Linked DNA regions of Saccharomyces cerevisiae S288C. The protein of the gene in region 2 interacts with the protein of the main gene of each other region in a biochemical or structural test. Each region holds a gene or a part of one and is shown on either strand. Other genes may lie near its edges.

The links.
Region 1: the proteins of NHA1 (region 2) and BMH2 interact in a test that uses a peptide from one of them, tested with the Saccharomyces cerevisiae proteins (one study listed by BioGRID).

What each region holds. Positions count from the first base shown.
Region 1 is NC_001136.10:651,697-655,249, forward strand, and holds BMH2 (14-3-3 family protein BMH2), read left to right. Parts: upstream 1-1,910; coding exon 1,911-2,732; downstream 2,733-3,553. Other genes in the region: TVP15 (Tvp15p), read left to right, coding at 3,317-3,553.
Region 2 is NC_001144.5:416,462-422,152, reverse strand, and holds NHA1 (Nha1p), read right to left. Parts: upstream 3,717-5,691; coding exon 759-3,716; downstream 1-758. Other genes in the region: SLS1 (Sls1p), read left to right, coding at 1-611; RKM5 (S-adenosylmethionine-dependent methyltransferase), read right to left, coding at 4,044-5,147; TIS11 (Tis11p), read left to right, coding at 5,495-5,691. UniProt on the Saccharomyces cerevisiae protein: Sodium export from cell, takes up external protons in exchange for internal sodium ions. Also capable of exporting potassium ions.

The DNA.
Region 1 (3,553 bases), on a different chromosome or scaffold from region 2:
GTTGGGATTCCACTGTTGGTAAACGCAATAATATTAGGTATACAGAATATACTAGAGGTTTTTCTTCGAGGATCTTGGGATCCAAAATAGGGAATCGGTATTTCTGCATAATATTGCTATTATTTCTCCTTCTATTTTACATGCTTCATTATCCTATTACATTATCTAGCTATGCAATTCAGCTCTCATTAAGTCTAATGACTGTTTTTCAATTGTTGTATAATCTTCTTATACCTCATTTGATAATATAGCAATAATATAAAATAGTACTCTATAGGTTATAGGAGTCTTAATACAATGAGCGCGCCATTATCGTTCTGTAAAGTAAATAGTCATTCACATAACGAGCTAATAAAAATCTCCAGATGGCACACATAGTGTATGGCAACATCAATGAGAAGAATAAGGTCTTCGAGGAATAAATTGTTCTAATCATGACAAAAACTACATAACAGAAGACTGAAAGACTGCATTAAAAAAATATTATTAGCATGAACACTAGTCAAAAAATGACACTAAGATTTCATTCCAACACTACATTTTTTCGGAAAACGTTTTATTGAAGTACTGCTTTATGGTCAGCACGTATCGCTTCATATATGATAACCTTACACAGTATCTTTCCGAAAAATCATGAAACGAAGTAACACAGCATCAATTTCTGTGAGAAATAGACAAAGATGTTTCAAAAGTTCCAACATATAGTGAGCATCGTTCATATACCTCGTACAAATCAAATTTGTCTCTTGGAATACCGAAAATTAGCCGCTCAAACACTCTCCGTTGTTAATGACAATTACACCATAGCCGCTGCCGTAGAAAATGCACGGTCTTCCGTGACGAGAAGATTCGGGGGCGAATCGCATAGATCGCTCTTTCTCCTCTTTCTCAATTCTGTCTTATCTGTATTTATAACATGAGCTCATAAACAAAGTCCCTGTTTATATATATTGATGACTTATATATCTTTCGCTTCAGCTTCTTCCCTCATTTCTACTTAATATTATCTTTTGAAATTAGCGCGATCAATTGCATTCTTTTCCACACCACCTTCAAATTTAAGAATTCATATTTGAATCGAACCGTATGTTTTACCTCTCAATAACTTGTTTCATTAATAGCTCCTTCCACAACCACCTTCATCTTCTCTGATTTGAATTATTACCGACATGAATGTTACTCTCCTGAAAATGTTAATTATATCAACTTAACAGGCCTTGAAAGTGAAGTGTTATAGTTTCTCTTCCTTTGTTTTTCCCACTTTCTTTTTTTTATATATATCTTATATTGGTTTAAGCACAGCGGATTGCTTTCTTCTAATACAAGAACTAGAACATAGGTCCACCCGTGTGATGTTGCATTCTGAAATGTTTAGTTATCTCTGTCAGAACAGCGAGGTAACACTTATTTTTGTTACGACCAATCCGTAATTCAAGCGTGGGTATTCATATGACCAGAGATAATAATACAGCGAATACTATTGAAATCGTCCCTTTTTTGTTTAGGAAGAACGGACAAATCGGTCGTCTGCTCGAAATGATTAGTAGTGTGTCACCCGGATCAGCAAAATGACACACACGAAATACGAGGAAAAAGTCGGTCGAAAGGGGCAAATGTTATTATAAGTCCCTCCAGTAGTCTTTTTTTTTTCAAATATTCATCATCAAAGGTTACGAAATCTTTTGAGCTATCTTAAACATTCGTTCTTTTTATCAAATTTCAATTACTAACTTATTTTTTCAAAAAAAATTGCCTCTCCCGGTTTTTAATCATTATTTTTTTCGATTGATTAAGGGGGAAAAGCAAAGAACGAGAAAACTTGGACAGAAGGTTAATACTCTGACAATTTCAAAACGAAGTAAAAAGAAAAATTATCAAATCAACAAAAAGTACCCGTTACAACAAAAAAAATGTCCCAAACTCGTGAAGATTCTGTTTACCTAGCTAAATTAGCTGAACAAGCCGAACGTTATGAAGAAATGGTCGAAAACATGAAGGCCGTTGCTTCATCAGGTCAAGAGTTATCTGTCGAAGAACGGAATCTATTGTCGGTTGCTTACAAGAACGTCATCGGTGCTCGCCGTGCTTCATGGAGAATAGTTTCTTCGATCGAACAAAAAGAAGAATCAAAGGAGAAATCTGAACATCAAGTTGAATTAATCCGTTCTTACCGTTCTAAAATTGAAACTGAATTGACCAAAATCTCTGACGACATTTTATCTGTGTTAGATTCTCATTTAATCCCTTCTGCTACTACTGGTGAGTCTAAAGTATTTTACTATAAGATGAAGGGTGACTACCACCGTTATTTAGCTGAATTTTCCAGCGGAGATGCAAGAGAAAAGGCAACCAACTCCTCTTTGGAGGCTTATAAAACCGCTTCCGAAATCGCCACAACTGAATTGCCTCCAACTCACCCAATTCGTTTAGGTCTAGCTTTGAATTTCTCCGTCTTCTATTACGAAATTCAAAACTCTCCTGATAAGGCTTGCCACTTGGCCAAACAAGCCTTTGATGATGCTATTGCTGAGTTAGATACTTTATCTGAAGAATCATACAAGGATAGCACTTTGATCATGCAATTATTAAGGGACAACTTGACCTTATGGACCTCTGATATTTCTGAATCTGGTCAAGAAGATCAACAACAACAACAACAACAGCAACAGCAACAGCAACAACAGCAACAACAAGCTCCAGCTGAACAAACTCAAGGTGAACCAACCAAATAAGAGCGCTGAGAAATACAAGGGGAAATGAAGATTTACCACTCCAGTTTTCTTGCTAACGAAAATGAATGCAATTCGATTTTGATACTTTTTTTAGGGGAAGAGATAATATCTTCGTCTAATACAAATTCACAAAATTTTCAATTTTACCAACTACAAAATATACAAACCTCTAAAAAAATAGTTTCTTAATATATAACATAAAATAGTTTTTCTGTTACTATTACTTCTATCACTGTTTTCTTCGTGTATTCTTATATTTTGGCTATCGTTCAGAGTTGAGACAATTTGCGAGAGTAATTGAGTAGTAATTTTCGTATGTTTTAAAATAAGTTCCTTCCATTGTATACGCACCTCTTTCTTCTGTTTTCCTTTGAATCTTGATCTACCTTACCTATTGAAGGTGAAGGCATCTTTTCTCATTTGATGAAACAGCGCTCCCTGGGTGTAGGGGGGCGGGGGTATAGTAGCGTAAATCCGCAACGGAAAAATACTTCGAGTGGAAAACTATGACCATTAATATGTATGTCTTACAAGAGAGGACAATAAACAAAGTCAAATAACCACAAGGGATCACAAACGAAAGGATGTCAGTTATTCCTCCAAAATTCTTCAAGATTGCAAATATATCAATTGGCTGCATAGACATTATTGCTGCCCTTTCACAATTGACGTATATTTTCACCAATTTAAACGTCTTCCTCTTGGCAGTTTACGGACTGGCACTCTCCGTACCTATCGTCTATCTGGAGTTCAAGGTTCCGTCAAATCTTTACAGGTATGCTTCCTTTTACTTTAGTTTTCTTGGAAGGGGTTTATCTTAT
Region 2 (5,691 bases):
TGCCTCTTGATCAACATCTAATAACAAATGCGCATCAATCCTTCATACAGCTGAACTTCACTCCTGTGCCGCCCACCTCTGGCTCCTCCTCGTCCCCTTTTTTGCAGATTTGGTTCGAGATTGACGAATTCGATAACATTGTTACCACCTCAATGAGGCCTCTTTTGAAATTACAAGAAAATTCTGTTATCTTAAGAACTCCACAATGCCAGACAGACTATAAGATCACGTCAGATTACATTCAAGATCTTTTACCTGATTTCGACCAGACCAATCCGGATGCTTGGTTATCTGAACAAAAAGGCCTCCAAGAATTTCTTCTCAAGTCACACTGGAAGTTAAACAAATATCAGAATCTTATGAAAAAAATCAACATTTCTTTACCAGATAACCTAATACAGCAATACCAATTGACTGATGTTTTGACCCATCGTGTCTTGAATTTACGATTTCCTACGAACACTGCCCAAGATGATAAATACATCATTCAATATTCAGATATCAGCCGCGGATTTTTGAACAATGGCTCCTACAGACAATTAGATTTCATCAATGTGAACCCCAGTGAAACCTCACTAAAAACCTTTATCAATGATGTTTTAAGCTTTTAAGTTTAACGGAAAAGAGTAATGACAAAACCGCATACCCCCCCCCCCTCCCCCTCTTTACCGCATCTACTCTATTTCCGACACATGTAAATAAAAAAGGCATTTCGTTTATATATATACTAAAATAATATATCTTTGTGTATTAATAAATTACTTATTGAGACCAAGCGTTTTTGATAGCGCCGACTTAACAGCAGCACTCTTTTGCTTTTTTTTTCCTTCCGCTGTACCTGGACCATCGTTTCCTGTTTGTGCCTCCACAGGTAAGGGCGGCAACTCTTCGTCATCTTGATCCGCTGGTGCCGTCATCTCACCTAACGCATTTAACCTTCTTTGTCTTTCGAATTCAGTTTCTGATTCATATGCATTATCGTCGTAATCTTCACTATCGTCCATGTTATAACTATCACCTAAATCCTCCTCAGATGAAGGTTCATCTTCCAGATCTAAGGAATCTTGAACTCCTCTCGGTGGCGCAGGTGTTAATGTCCTTTTCTTTAACATCCCTGGGCCCTTCCTGGAGGGTCCTTCGATGGCTTTTTCTTCATCTACTGGAGGCGGTACGCCGCTGTTCGCTTTGCTCTTTAGTCCTACTGCTGTTAAAGCTCTTGATACAACACTATCGTTTCTTGGGCGGTTTTTACTTTTATCATCATCAGATTTATGAGGATTTATCTTGTATCTTTTTATAACATCACCGTCCTCATTCTCGATGATTAACAGATTGTCTATTTTAAATGCATGATACTTGCTGTTTTTATTTTTATCCTTTCCTTTATCAACCAATGAATGTATCTTTCCTAAAGATGTGGGAGTTAAAATTCTCTTTAACCTTCCCCCACTACTACTGGATAGATTGGTCATTGTGGTAGTTAAACTTGAATGGGCTGTACTATCAACACTAACTTCGTCATCTCTCGCCTCATTGCGATCCTCGATATCTACTTGATTCAAGATTTCACCTTGCTTATTTTCAATAATCATTCTATTACCATCTAAATAAGCAGTACCAGGTTTCATTTCTTCCTCTTTCATTTTTCGAATTCTCCTCTCTTCACTACTGGCCATTGATCTTTCACTTTCATTTTCCATCTCGTCTTCGCTTTCAATCTCGCTTTCTGTCTCTTCTCCATCGTAACGGTTTCTTGGTACGTAAGTTCTTCCTCGGAGAGATGAAGATCTTTCAGACGACTCAAAACTTGGTGTGTTATTGTAATTATCGCTATATTCCTTTTCCGGTGTGTACTCATCTTCTTCTTCATCTCCACCCATTCCAATCTCCTCATTACGTTGTGTATTGACGGCTGTGCTCAATGCAAATGTGGCGGCGCGTGCTTCCTTTTCTTTTTGCAACCTTTCTCGTCCCAGATCATTCAACTCATCGTCATCATACATTTCATTTTTAGATCTTGATGAAAATATTTCTCTACCTTTGTTTCTCAGTTTCTGTCTTCTGTTCAATCTTTTCTCTTTTCTTGACAATTTCCTCCTCCTTGGCATACCACCAGCGGGTCTTGCAGGAATTCCGCTCGTTGCGACGCTACCAATTTGATCATTGTTTAATCCTTCTTCATCTTCACCTCCTGCTAGTCCCTTACGACCTCCTCCTTCTTCTGCTTCACCTTCATCCCCTGATAAAGTCATTTGAGTATCCATACGATGCAATGAAAATGATCGTCCAGCTTTATCCAACGATGGCAACCTTTGCATCCATGAACTTTTCCCATTATCACCATTGGTGGTGTGTGTAGTGAATGTTTTGGTTAACGTTATCGTGTTCAAATGACGACCTAGAGTTATGATTGCAACTGAAGAACCATGAACTATGATAGAAGTAACAATGAAAAAACAAGTTATTGGCCATATACAGGCTATCAGCTGCCAATGTTTACTTTCCTCTTTTGATGGTACAACATTTAAAGGAGTGGGTTCGTCACTAAAGGTAGACTCTAATTCTCCACGAGCTAGTATAGCGGCAAAAATTGCACCTACACCAATAGGACCAAAATGGCCCACAAAAAGTGCCTCACGCCACGATTTTATATCAGGTATAAGAGGTCTTAATATCATGACTGCAGGGATCCTACGTAAAAAGATGACCACTATCGAAAGTATAATTAAACGCCAGACGTTTGTGCCAATTTCACCGTTGTTGAATTGACTCCAAGGTATAATGGCACCAAAATAGATAAAATACGCATAGTTTAGTAGCAAATCAATCACGGTAGAAACATTACTTTCTTGTGTCTTTTGAGAAAACCACCCATCCCAAGCGAAAGTCGCACCGGCTGCAAATGATACCAATAGGTCATCCACACCCAAAATGGAGCCGAACCCAGCACACATGAACGCCAGGACAACGTAAAATGCTAAGAACGACTCACGATCGATAATGTTTTTCTTTTCGGCAAACCTGATGGTGATTCTGCCTACATAACCAATGAAGCAACCTAGCAAGCATCCAAACAAACACTCATACAGGATAGTAACGCAAATCCAATCTTTGACAATTTCTCTTCCATTACCGGGATGTAGGATTAAATTCATAGAAAGAAATAAAAAAGGAAAGGCCATACCATCATTGCAGCCTGACTCTGCAGACAGTAGATTTCTTAAGTGACCAGGTACTCTTTGGGCAAACTTACCGGAGACGACCGACTGCGCCAGAATAGGATCTGTTGCGGTAATGCACGCAGATATCAACAAACTAGCAGAAAAATTCAAGCCAGGTATAAGAATCCAAACGAAGAGACCAATAATAAGCCATCCAGCTGTCATCACTGGCAATAATAGCATCGTCACAGATACCCAATGCTTCAACATATATTTCCGTGGCAGTTCCACGGCAACGGCAAAAATTTGCAAACATAATACTATTCTCGTTATCTCTAATGTTATACTGTCTGAATTCCCCCATTTCAGAGGATTAAACCAGTTCAAGCAAACAGGACCCACAATTAGCCCAAATATACCTGCTACGGTGGACTCACCAATATAAAGCTTCTCCTTGACATAAAGTGACACTAAAGAGAAGATAGATGAAAAGACACCAACACATGCATAAGCAACGTGCGCCTTTGAGACTTCTAGTTGCTCCCAGATAGCCATAATATCTAGCTAAGTTCAGGATTTTTTTTTATAATGTACAAAAAAACACGATGCTTGGGAAAAATAAGTGCAGTGGAAAATGAAGCTTAAAAATCAAATGTGTGTAGAAAGTGTGATCCTATGTAAATCGCTAAGTCCGCTTTATCTTGACGATAACGGATCCAGCAGCTTTTAGATTATTAGCTATATCACACAGAGTTGGCTTAGTGCCCTTGCTAATCAAAAATGAAAATCTTCCCAATCCGTACGGAGGGGAAGAGGCACTGCCGCATCGCAAAGAAAAATAAGATTATCAGCATTATATTGTTTCTATTATTATATATGGGACTAGGTGATAAGATAAAAGTTAAAACGGGACTCTTGTATGACCTGGTCAACGATATCATAAACCGTGAAGTCATATTCTATGATGGCTTTCTCCAAGAACAGTGTTGTCACCTCTTGTGACCGCAAGTGTATCCCCACGAGGACATGGAATTGCAAATTGTAGGTAGTTTGTAACCAGTGTTTGAGTTGCTTGAGCGTCTTCAGAAACGGATCTATCAGGTACTCGTTGTATATGACATCCATAGCTATAACGTACACGGAAGAACATGTTTCACCTATGAGTGACAACTCAGGATGCAGAGAGTGGGTCTTTTTGTCTTGCAAGTTTATCTTCTCCCAGTCTAGAGCGGCTACTTCCAAATGCAACGTAGACTTAGATGGAAGTGACGCTGCGGTGATATCAGCGTCGCCAACTGGTTCGACGGTGGGAAGTTCCAATCTTAGTGATCGGGAAATGCACCGCTTTCTGGTCAACTGTGATAAGTTTTCCATGATGTTATCTTTTAATTTATTAAGAATGCCCTTCTGATCTGTCGACACGTAGGTGTCGACGAAGTTACCAAGAATCACGGGCAAAATACCTGATATTCCTGCTCCAAGTTCCAAGATACCTCTCTTGCCGCGATCAGCGCCCGTGAGGTCGACCAGCCTGGGCAACTCAAGCTTGTGCCCCTCGCAAGAAGACCCGCAGGTTACTTCCACCTGACTCCCAAGACGGAAAGGTGCAGCGCTAGTACTATACAGCAGCCAGTTGATGAAGAAAGGTGTGGTAGACCACAAAACGTATCCTGTGGTGGAGTTTCCGTTGTCTCTGGACGAGCGCAAGCTTGATATGGACTGCCCCACGCTAACATGATAGCTATCCACAGCAACATTCTGATCTTCTTCAACACTACTAGCCTTATTTCTTCTTCTCACTCGCTTTTTTTTTCTGCCGCCTTCCAGCCCAGAGGGTTCAAACGTTATCTCTAGCACACCGCCCCTTCTATCCTGAATACCCAAATCCTGCGCCAGTTTCCCGGACTGGCCCTCCAATTGTGTGTACCGTTCGAACACGTGCTCGTATATTGTTTCCTCATCCAGTAGCCATAACTTGAATGCCATTCTGCCTAGCCCATTTGCGTCTTCGCTGCCGTAACCATTCTCTCTTCTTGACAGCACTGCCTTGGTCAGTTCTCTATATTTGTCGCGCCGCCGCAAAATGCACCCACATTAAAGAAGACGACGCCAATCGACACCCTAATTTGGAGGTGTAGATGCACAATGGCACATGCAGTTGGGTGCATTGTGCCAGCAATCTCGTCTCGATTTCTCTACATGTAACTTGTATATATATTTGAGAGAAGACATAATCGTTGGTGGGACTTGGAGGCTCTTGGTAGGTCGTATTTGTGCATCTTGAGAGAAAGCGAAACAGTGCTGCAAACTCAATACGTAAAAAATAACGCAATATGTGGGCTCAATTATCATATACTAGACCAGAATCTCAGAAGACTGACTTAACGTCGTTGTTTTCCACAGATCAAGAGCAAAATCCATTAAATGACTACCAGTACCAGATCAATATTAGGGAACTGGAGGAGTATTACAACAAGACGATTTTAAACGAGGATAACATACAGGAAACAAGCAGTGAAATATCTTCGGC